Linked DNA regions of Nothobranchius furzeri. The protein of the gene in region 3 interacts with the protein of the main gene of each other region in a biochemical or structural test. Links are inferred from orthologs where the notes say so. Each region holds a gene or a part of one and is shown on either strand. Other genes may lie near its edges.

Evidence for each region.
Region 1: of the proteins of ccnb1 (region 3) and B-cadherin, one has a biochemical effect on the other in vitro, tested with the Homo sapiens proteins (3 studies listed by BioGRID). The link is inferred for Nothobranchius furzeri from reciprocal best matches to the Homo sapiens genes CCNB1 and CDH1.
Region 2: of the proteins of ccnb1 (region 3) and zc3hc1, one has a biochemical effect on the other in vitro, tested with the Homo sapiens proteins (3 studies listed by BioGRID, with this or other methods). The link is inferred for Nothobranchius furzeri from reciprocal best matches to the Homo sapiens genes CCNB1 and ZC3HC1.

Annotation. Positions count from the first base shown.
Region 1 is NW_027223037.1:4,224,140-4,227,794, forward strand, and holds part of B-cadherin, read left to right. Parts: intron 1-1,815; coding exon 1,816-1,904; intron 1,905-2,745; coding exon 2,746-2,964; intron 2,965-3,655.
Region 2 is NC_091741.1:47,412,116-47,415,870, reverse strand, and holds the start of zc3hc1 (zinc finger C3HC-type protein 1), read left to right. Parts: upstream 1-1,237; 5' UTR 1,238-1,278; coding exon 1,279-1,403; intron 1,404-3,755. UniProt on the Homo sapiens protein: Required for proper positioning of a substantial amount of TPR at the nuclear basket (NB) through interaction with TPR.
Region 3 is NC_091746.1:73,743,122-73,746,876, reverse strand, and holds the start of ccnb1 (G2/mitotic-specific cyclin-B1), read left to right. Parts: upstream 1-1,489; 5' UTR 1,490-1,601; coding exon 1,602-1,622; intron 1,623-1,844; coding exon 1,845-1,973; intron 1,974-2,491; coding exon 2,492-2,602; intron 2,603-2,685; coding exon 2,686-3,033; intron 3,034-3,122; coding exon 3,123-3,359; intron 3,360-3,429; coding exon 3,430-3,570; intron 3,571-3,755. UniProt on the Homo sapiens protein: Essential for the control of the cell cycle at the G2/M (mitosis) transition.

The DNA.
Region 1 (3,655 bases), on a different chromosome or scaffold from region 3:
CCAATGAGATCAAAAATTCTGCACATAAACACGTCAATCGGAAAGTTCTGATCCAATTCGGCCTGATCGGTATGAAATTTCAATCCGATAGAGAGGTAGTTTGTCCGATCCTCATTCCGGTTGACGTGCATGTACACAGCCATTCAGATTGTTGGAGTAAAGTAACACCCACTGTGCCTGTGCAACACCCAACAAGCCTCCCCGCCATCATTTGGACAACCTGACTTAAAAAATGACAACAAGCGCCAGCTTTTTAATTTGATGGCAAGCCGTCCCGTTTCTGTAATATCTAATCCAGAAGACAGAACTTGCATTTTGTGGAAGTGATATAAAAATCAGTAATCGGTAATGAGTCTGAATACCCCCCCCCCCCCCCCCCCCCCCGCAAGAGGCAAAGGCATATTGTTAAAAATAAAACACAGCAAAGCATACAGCTGCAATTATTCATGGAGGAAAACGTAACTTCTATGAGCAAAATAAAGACATTAAATTGATTAAATGAATCAGAAAAACAAGATGATTTGTTTTTTTCTGATTTTACATTTTTCATTTTGTTTCATGACGTTTACAATTTTTTTTTCCGGGAAAGAAAACTCTGAGCATGCTCAACCTATTTAATCTGAATAATTAGTGCATATAAACTCATGGCATGATTGGATCATTACTGCTAGTGTGCATTTGAACAGATTCGGGATTTCCGATCAACCGGGATTTGAATCGGATTGGGGAAACTTGGCGCATATAAACGTGGCTACTGAGGCCTGTCTTTGAGCAGTAAAAAAATAATTTTGGGTTTTCAAAATAAAGAAAAATCTAACTTTTGTGGCCCACGATGACTTAAATGTGATGTGTACTTTCTTGGAGGAAAGTCATCTAGCCCACTACATTTGGGAAAAATAAAAATGTTCAAAGGTCCGACCCCTTTCTTCATTGAGCCAGTAAATGATGAGATTTTGAAGCCTAATATTCCTTTTTTGCAGTTTTAACGATGTTTTTTCACACCTGACTTAAAAGAAGAAATACTAATTTATAACAGGCAAAATGAAACTATTTAATGCATTTTGAAGTCTGTTCCTTAGTAAGTCTTAAATATTCGTCTATAAAGCCTCTGTTTAGAGAAATGGCTCTCAGAGTGGATGAGCTAATGGCTAGTCTGAATGCTAGCATTCTAAAAAAAAGTAAATTAGAACCTTTCACACAGTTTTATAAATCTTACAGCCTAGGGCACATCGGAGACATTTTAAATAGAAGCCAGTATAGTTGATGAGTGGAAACACAAGGAGCGCCGCGTCCCAGAAGCGCGGCACTGAAAATGGGCGCCGTGGCTGTTTACGACATTGTGGGGTACTTTACAACAGACATTACGACGCGGAACGGCTTTACGGCACAAACCCAGCTGCAGCTTTGATAACTTCAAAGTACTATTGATCTTAAATTCTAATAAATTGCATGCTTATTTATTTTTATTGAATTAGTCTAACAAAACACGACGGCAAGTCTGATCACGTATGAGCAATAGTCAAATCCCGCTTCCTTTTCCCAAGTCCCGCATGATGTTGTAACTATCGCGCCTGTCTATCTCCGGTGTGCCCCAGGATTTAAACTGCAGTCACTGATTGGTGCATAAATACAACATTTCTGCTGAGTCCCTGGATGCACCAAAAGTGCTTAGTTGTTGAAGAGAGGATTAGGAATATTTCTCCAAACAAAGGCTGTTCAGGTGACCGTCTCCAGCAGGTTGCCAGTTACTGCGGGCTTTTTCTTTCCTTTCTGTGTTTATTTGTAATAAAAATGACTTGTTCTGTTCTTTTTCAGTTGACTTCTCCGACTGCACGCTGCGAACCAGGTTCCTTTTCACCACTGATGACAATCGTTTTGTTGTGCACTCAGATGGAACGTTAGCTGTGAGTGAAGCACTTCTGTTCAGGTTTTTATTTAAAGAGACGATGTGTAGTTTTTACCATTACTTTCTGGAAATATCCAACAAAATGTTGTTAAATGAATGCAAAGATGCCCATTTGTTGAAAAATATTGGCGGCTTTTGTAACATGTAACCATACAAATCAGGTCTAAAATACATGGGAGCCCATGTGGACAAAATGCATTTACTGATTTGTAACAGATGGTTACAAAACTTTGGTCGTACGTGTTTTACACATTCACCTCTTCACTTGTTGCCACTGATGAAAGGGCGTCTGATGTGCTTATTTTGCTAAAGCTTGATCTCCCCAGGGCTTTTTGACCCTGATGGGCATCCACTGATGTCTGCTTGCTTGCAATGATTATGGTATCTACTGCCCCCTATCGCCAGGAAAAATACACATGGTCACTTTAGTGTTCATCTCAGACCTGTTGAATGTTCTGGTGTTTTGGGTCAGTTCTGTTACAGAAATGTGGACCAGGGCTTTGGTGGACGATTAAACCATAATTCTGTCACACTGGTTGTAGAAAATATGAAGATATTTGAGATACTTTGGTGAAAATATGAATTCAGACATTTCATTTAACTGCGGCTCCCATCATTATTGTGGATGATGCATATTTTCTGTTAGTAACAGTGTTCTTTTGGACTATTGAAGAAAAAGATGTTAACAGTTTGGAATTTAATGAAAAATTTAAATTAGCTTCATAAACAAACCATTTAAGACATTCTAAACCCTTTTTGTGTTAGACATCTGGCATATTCAAGCTTTCTAAGTGTTGTTGAGTCCAGGCTTGTTGCTGAAGTCTGGCCTTCTCCTGCAGGTAAAGAGACCGGTTCTTCTTCACGAGGGACAATGGGACTTTTTTGTCCACTCCTGGGACTCGCAAGGCAAGAAAATGACTGTTCCTGTCCAGCTGCTGCGTCAGGGGCATCACCATGGAAACATGCAGAATGTGGAGCATCACCATGGGGCCCAGAACCAGAACTGTACAGAAGAAGGCTCGGAGGCAAACCCAGAAGGCTCGGAGGCAAACCCAGAGGTATCCTTAGAAGACCAGATGGGTCATAAGTTTCCTCTGATAAACGAGCTTTCAGATAGTTTCTGTTGAATTTCTTCTGTCCTTTTGTACAGATGAGGTTACTGTTAAGACACCGCCACCCTGTGGCCATATTTAGAACAACATCCTTTTGTCATTGTTTCCCATTACATTTATCATCCCCCCCCCCTTTTTTTTTATTTAAACACAAACAAGATGAAACGGATTATTTTAGGGGATGTTTTGAAGAGTTGAGCAATTCTCTCGGTTCTCTTGATCCTCATGGCTGTTTTTACTGTCGGAAAGCAAACATCCTCGTGTCAGATTACCAAAACTAAAATCTTTCTCCCTCTAAAGCCTCACTTCTGTGTCTTGACACCTGCTGGTCTCTGTATGGTCATGTCAGTTATTTTAGCAGATTTATATTGGCTACCTGTTTTTGTTTCTGTTACTAACTTCTGAAGCTTTAGCAAGTTTAATAACCATTTCCTAGAACCTGGGCCCTCATTCATCAAACGTCTGTAGAAATATTCCTAAATTCCTTCCTATTAACAAAATTTAGAATGTTCGTGCGAACGGTCAAAATCCTGATTTATGACTCACGCGGTGGCCTCTTGTACACACATTCCTCCACACTCCACTGATAATAAATCCCTCCTGTGCGTACCCAGGTGCTCGTGTCCGCTTTGTCATT
Region 2 (3,755 bases), on a different chromosome or scaffold from region 3:
GGAAAATGGCAATGACACTCAGTGTAGGGAAAATATATATAATTTTGTTTTGTCTTTCTTGAAATTTGATTTGGGGGGGATTATATAAGCTACCAGAGCTTCGTTCCCTTCCCATTGAACATGTTCTACATGTCTATGTGTATGTATATGTATATGTATATATGTATATATGTATATATATATATATATATATATATATATATATATATATATATATATATATATATATATATATATATATGTATATATGTATGTATGTATATGTGTATGTGTGTATGTGTATATATGCATATACATATGTGTGGGTTTCTTTTTGGAGACTTTTTGAATGCTTTGGGTTGTCTATTGATTTGCATGCATGTTCAATAAATAAATAAATAAAAAAAATAAAAAATAAACAAATATCATGACTTTGTGTTTTTTTAACTCAGTGTCATCCAAATGTCATGATTTTGGGGTGATTACTTCAAAGTTACCCAACCATCATGATTTTGGGTTATTCACCCCAAAGTCACCCAAATGTCGTACATTGGCCTCTAAAACACCAAAACACAAGGCCAATATTTTGTGCTAGTGGGTAGTTTCCTACCTAGTTTATATATATATATATATATATATATATATATATATATATATATATATATATATATATATATATATATATATACATATATATATATATATATATATATATATATATATATATATATATATATATATATGAGTTTATGTGGTTGCTAATTGTTTGTATAAGTGAATACATATGTCTTCTCGTTATCTAGACTAAATGTGGTATTATTGTGTGTGCTCATTTCATTTTATCTTATTTGTACAATGTTTTTCGACTTCTTGTGAATTGGAGTCCGTAATAAAGACTACTTGCACTAATTTAAAATCTTGGAAATTTTAAAATAGTATAACTTATTTTGAAAGAATTTATAGAAAGTGCTAATTACTTATGCCTTGTTTAGCTTTATGTAAATGCTGTAGTAACAGTTTACATCCGCTAAAGGGGGATAACCACTCTCGAAAGCCAGATATTAAATCGTTGAGTTTTTGTGTTTCCATCAAGTTGACAGCTCTGGAACAACTGCCACGATTCCATTACGATCATCGTGTTCGATCCTGTTTCATAAATACAAATTTAAATGTGTTTTATCAATTTCCCTTTTGGGATTGTAGCGCTTTTCCCCCACTGGGGACAGTGCTGTTTACGAGAGACGGAAGTGATGTAATTCCACAGGCAGCGTCAAAATAGAAGAAGAAGAACCGTCGACAATGGCGATGCACGACGGTGCTCGTCCCGGTAATTCAGATCAACATAAAGCTTTTCTCACTTCTCCAGAGAAAGTTCGCGAACTTCTCAGTGAGGGAGTATCTTCACCAGATGTCGGTTCCAACAGGTACCTGTTTGCACACGACCTCGTTTTCTGTTAAATACGGGGTTTCGTTCGGCGTTTGAGTTAGCCGCAGTAGCCTAGCCTCTCATTTTAGCAGTTGTTCTTAGTTCTGCTGCAGGAGGAGTTTCAGGTCTGCACAGACATAGTTGTCAGCCCGAAGGACATGACTGGGAGCATTCATGTGCATACCACTGTAATAACGAGACAAGTTTCAGATGTGCAACTTCAATTTACCAGACTTGCACCAGGCATTCGGGTCTAGCAGTTTAGGAAGTGTTATGAAAGTGGTAAGATGGTTTAGATTTACTTCATAATTCAGATCTACATACGTGCATAAAATAAGTTTTAGAAAACACTGAACATCGACCAATAAGAAGCAGACGTTTCTTTGGAATGGCGGAGCAACAAAACAATGTTTTATTGTGATTAGTAAAATTAGACCCAGATTAACCATAAGTCCTTGGGAATGTTTCCAGCAGTAGCATCGTTACAGTAATCAGTAGGTAAAAGAGGAAAAGCAAATGGGGCAGCACTTAAAGAAAAAGTTTAAAGTGTTAAAGGCCAAGTTCATTAAGAAAACATTTTTTACTTGTTATTTTGGAAATATGATCGGTCACTCTGAGTTTACACCACCAAACCCTCAGTCAGGAATCTTGGTGTGACCTTTGACCCAGCTCTAACCCTGGATTCTCATGTCAGTTCTCTTGCTGCTTTTCCTTCTTCCAACTCAGTCTTATTCTGTCTCGCTCTGAACTTGAGATTGCATTCCATACCATCATCTCCTCACGCTTAGACTACTGCAGCATTTGACACTGTTGACCATCACCTGCTACTGGAGAGGCTGAGAGACTGGGTAGGCCTATCAGGATCTGCTCTGGAGTGGTTCTCCTCTTATCTCTCTGAGCGCTCCTTTTCTGTGGCCGTCTCCAAGTTTAGGTCCTCCACCACCTCTCTTACCCATGGTGTCCCACAAGGTTCTGTGCTGGGGCCTCTGCTCTTCCTCCTCTATCTGCTTCCTCTTCTTCACATCCTGCGCTCCTTCAAAGGAATGTTTATGCAGATGACATCCAACTGTACATGTCCTTTAAGCCCCATGAGATGTCTAAGCTGCAGCTGTTACACACCTGCTTAGACTCTATCAAAACCTGGATGGCTGGGAGCTTTCTTTAGCTGAATGAAGATAAGACTGAGATCCTCATCTGTGCAAGCTGGTTCCCAAAGTCAGAGACTCTCATGGTCAGCTTGCTTCCCGCACCAAACCTTCTGTCAGGAATTTTGGTGTGACCTTTGACCCAGCTTTCACCCTGGATTCTCATGTCAGTTCTCTTGTTCGCTCTTCCTTCTTCCATCTCAGGAACATTGCTAAGCTGAGTCCCATTCTGTCCCGCTCTGAACTTGAGACAATTATCCACTCCTTCATCTCCTCACGCTTAGACTACTGTAACTCTCTTTTCAACTGTCTGAGCAGAACCTCCCTGAACCGACTACAGGTGGTTCAGAATGCCTGTGCTCGGCTTCTGACCAAGTCCTCCAAACACACCCACATCACCCCGCTTCTCCTCCAGCTTCTTTGGCTGCCAGTCAACTTCAGGGTTCATTTCAAGATCCTGGTTCTGGTCTATAGGGCCTTACATGGACAAGCACCATCTTACATTGGTGATCTTCTCAGTCCCTACCCCCCCAACAGGTCCCTGAGGTCCAGTGATCAAAGCCTACTGGTTGTGCAACATACCAGGCTAAAGACCAAAGGTGACAGATCATTTGCTGCTGTGGCCCCCCGACTCTGGAACTCTCTCCCCCTGAGCCTGAGATCAGTGGACTCAGTGGTCTCCTTTAAAAAGCAGCTGAAGATTCACTTGTTCAAGCTGGCTTTTGTATGACCTTCTTCACCACTCTCTCTTTATTCTGCTCTCCCCACCTATTCCACCTTCCTCAGGATCCACTGATTTCCCTCTTTCCTATTCACTCTCTCTCTTTCTTAACATTTTTTCTTTTAAATCCCAAATGCCTATTTTTGCTCATTTTAAATATATTTTTAAACATTTTCTAAATGCTTTTTTATATTTTAACTTTTTTTTATTTTATTTTGTGAAGCGCCTCGTGATTTTCATCTTGAGAGGCGCTATAGAAATTATATTTTCTTCTTCTTCTACTGCAACTCGCTTTTCACCTGTCTGAGCAAAACCTCCCCGGACCGTTTACAGGTGGTTCAGAATGCAGTTGAGCAACTCTAAAGTGAAGCAGCGTCAACTCAAAGACCTGCAGTGTTTCTGTGGTCTTCCTCAGAGCTCCACAGGCAATCAGGATGACTACAGCCTCGCATGAATGCTGGGCGGCTTGGCTGCAAGGCCGCAC
Region 3 (3,755 bases):
CAGGGCCAAATTTTGGTCCCAGTCCACCCCTGGCCACGATGTTGCCACAACTGCCCCGGGGCTCACGAACAGAGGCGAGGCTGCCGTATACAGGTGCCATTGGTCCCTCCGACCACCACCTGCAGGCAAAACGGGTTAAGTGTCTTGTCCAAGGAAACAACAACACCAACAGACAGGGCTAGAATCTGCAATCCTTCGATTATGGGGTGGGCTCTTAATATACTGTTATTTTGTCTTGTAATAGTTAATTACACACTCCTTTATTCCATATCATAGCAGTGTTATTCATATATTAAAATTGTCAACTGCACACTCATTTGGCAGAATAAAAGTTTGACAATTATTCATTTGTTCTTTATTGTCACATTTCAGTAACAGTTATAATTAAACAAGTTGTAATTCAACAAATTAAATAAATGACTACAACATTTCCCCCTGTTAAGTGCAGTAGACTGAAATGAATAGCTTTATTTGGAAATATAACATATCTAATTTTTAATGGACTTACATAAAATCTTTCTTCAACATAGACCCCACTAATTAACTGATTAAGTGTTATTTTTATAAAAAGAAGAGAGAAAATGCACAAAGGTAGGAAAGGAAAAGAAAGTGATGAAATAATAGGTTTTGTTAAATGTTCTTCATATAATGAATTAATTGACAAAGTTTTTGCAGGGTGTGACAAAAAACGTTCAAGGTCAAGCTCCTGGGGCTAAGCCCCCCCATATCTCAATCCTAGTGACGTCCATGGTGCAGCACATTCAGGCTCAGGAACTCACCTGTCATCGTCCAACGTTAATCACGACTCTCCATGTGGGTCCGCAGACATTTCTGTACATATTTCTGTAAAAGTTCACAAATACACGAGCAAGCTACAAGGTTTCTACTATTTTCACATAGAAGTCTATTTTGCGATTTTCTAAACACTCTCTAAACCATTAAGTGTGCAATATTCTACACATTTTTCTCAGTAAAATAAATTCATATGTTCACTTTTACGTTTGCTCATAAAACAAAAATATTTTATCGTGATTTTGTATTTCGAAATGTTTGTGCATTGTTTGAAAGCATCTTTTAGTCCCAAGTTTTACTATTTTATCAACAGCTGTGGTTTATTTCAGACATGAGAGGCACGAGCCAAACTGGAAGCACTGGTTTTCACTCCCCGAACAATCATTTACTTTTAAACAGCATGTGGTTTCAAAAACACCTACAAGTGAGTAGCAAATCTGAATAAACTAATTAAGAGGCTGATAAAAAGCTAATGAATGTGTATGGCGGTCTAATTATAAACTGACACATACTGATCTGTTATTTATATTTATATCGAGGTTTCACTGACTAACGAGCAGGAGAAAACAGAGAAAATAGCAAGACGCAACAGGAAAAGGAAATACGAGGATGTCACGTGATCGTACGTTGTCTAGGAAACGCATTCATTGCCTGCCTGATGGACCAATCAGATGCTCGGAGAAGTCAAAGCGCAGCGAATCAGCTTGCAGCGCACGAGGATTTAAACGAAGACAGCGAGTCTTTAGCTGAACTCGTTCGCTCGGCATTACGACTCTTTCACTGCTTGTCGGAACCACGCAGACTTGAAAATGGCTCTTCGAGTGACCAGAGTGAGTCTTTAGTCGGGTCTTACAGCTCTTTATCCGCGTAAACACGCCTAGAAACATGTCGAATGATTAGTATTAGCGTTTAAAATGCTTCCGTGCTTCGGTGTACCTCACCAGTTCAGGCACTGTCCTGCTGAGAGTTCAGAGTCAAACCTGAAGCGGATTTTGTGTTTATAGATGAACGACATGCAGCAGCGGCTAAAGGACTCTTTTGTTTCTCTGCAGACTCGGCTCGGTTCTACCAGAACCGAGCTCGGAGGAGGGAAGGCCTGCATGAACGGGCCCAAGCAGAAGCCTCGAGGCGCGCTTGGTGAGATCGGAAACGTCCCGCTGAACAAAGAGGTTCAGAAAAAGGTGAGAAGTTTTAAATACTCGAGTTTTTATGGTATTAATAATATTCACACGTGAGAACTTCATGCGTCTACTTTAGACTCGATGTGATGAAGTCATTTTCTTTTAAAGCGCTGCTAACATGTAGAGCACATGCTAGCAGACATGCTGCTGTTAACGTGCTATTTAAATAAAGTGGTGGACAGGTAAAGGTTTTTTTTAATCCCATAATAACACGTTCAAGTAGGGGGCGCTGCAGAGCCCCGGTGCCTGGAAGAAGCCATTTTCATGCACACATCCACCTAGAAGGTACTCTTGCATTGGACATGTCACCTTCTTAAAGCCCCGCCCTAGCCTTGGTGACTCACCTGGATGCAGCCTGGCTGCCTCACTAGGGATGCTTACTTTAAAGTGGGTAATCGGATCTGTTTAGCGTACCTGCGTAAACTTGTCAAGACTGTATAATCTTCAGTTTAACTCTAGTGAAGCACCAGGTGATTTAATTTCTCCATGGGGGCTTCAACGACCATATTTGGATTTAGAATGTCAAGATCGATGCTGCAAAGAAGCCTGAAGTTGTACCTAAAGCGGTAAAGGTGGAACAGCCCAAGCCTCCGGTCGTCATTGCTGCTGACCCTGAGCCTGAAGTTCAGGTGAGTCATCTGATTAGTTTAAATCCTGATTCGATCCATGCGCTGACGCACCTGTAAAACGTGTTGAACTTCCTCTGCTCCAGGTGCCGCCTGAACCCACCTCGCCCACTCCGATGGAGACGTCTAGCTGCAAACCCGCTGATCTCTGCCAGGCGTTTTCAGACGTCCTGCTCCACACCGCTGTCAGGGACGTGGATGCGGACGACTATGACAATCCCATGCTCTGCAGTGAATATGTGAAGGACATCTACAAGTATCTCCGTCAGCTGGAGGTTGAGCAGAACGTCAGGCCCACTTACCTACAGGGTCAGGAGGTTACCGGGAATATGAGGGCCATCCTCATCGACTGGCTGGTGCAAGTGAGCCTCAAGTTCCGTCTGCTGCAGGAGACCATGTACATGACCGTTGGAATAATCGATCGCTTTCTTCAGGTAATTCCCACGCTCGTCGTCGGTGGGTAGACGTATCCACGTGTAGAGATTAAAGGTGTTAAATGTGCACGTTCCTGCGTCTCCAACAGGACCATCCAGTCCCCAAGAAGCAGCTGCAGCTAGTGGGCGTGACCGCCATGTTCCTTGCCTCCAAATATGAGGAAATGTATCCTCCGGAGATCTCGGACTTTGCCTATGTGACGGACCGGGCCTACACCACTGCTCAGATCCGGGACATGGAGATGACCATTCTGAGAGAGCTGAAGTTTCAGCTTGGCCGACCACTTCCCCTGCAGTTCCTCAGAAGGGCCTCAAAGATCTATGAGGTTTGTGTCGAGGCTAAAGTCCAGCTGATCTTCAGTGACTTGTCTGCTGACTTCTGCCTTTGGTCCACAGGTAACGGCGGAGCAGCACACTCTAGCCAAATACGTCCTGGAGCTCACCATGATGGACTACGAGATGGTTCATTTCCCTCCTTCTATGGTGGCCAGTGCTGCTCTGGCGTTCACCTTGAAGGTCCTGGAAGCAGGCGAATGGGTTTGTATGCGATTTTTAAAATACTCCTGTGTTACTAAAATGGGTTCATCACAGGCTAATGGCTACTCCGACTGATGCAACGAACATTAAAGAGCAAGTCACCCCCAAATCAACTGTTTTTTCTGATAAACTATATAAATGCGTGTCTAATCGTGCTGCAGACGCATGTAGTCAACAGTTTTGCA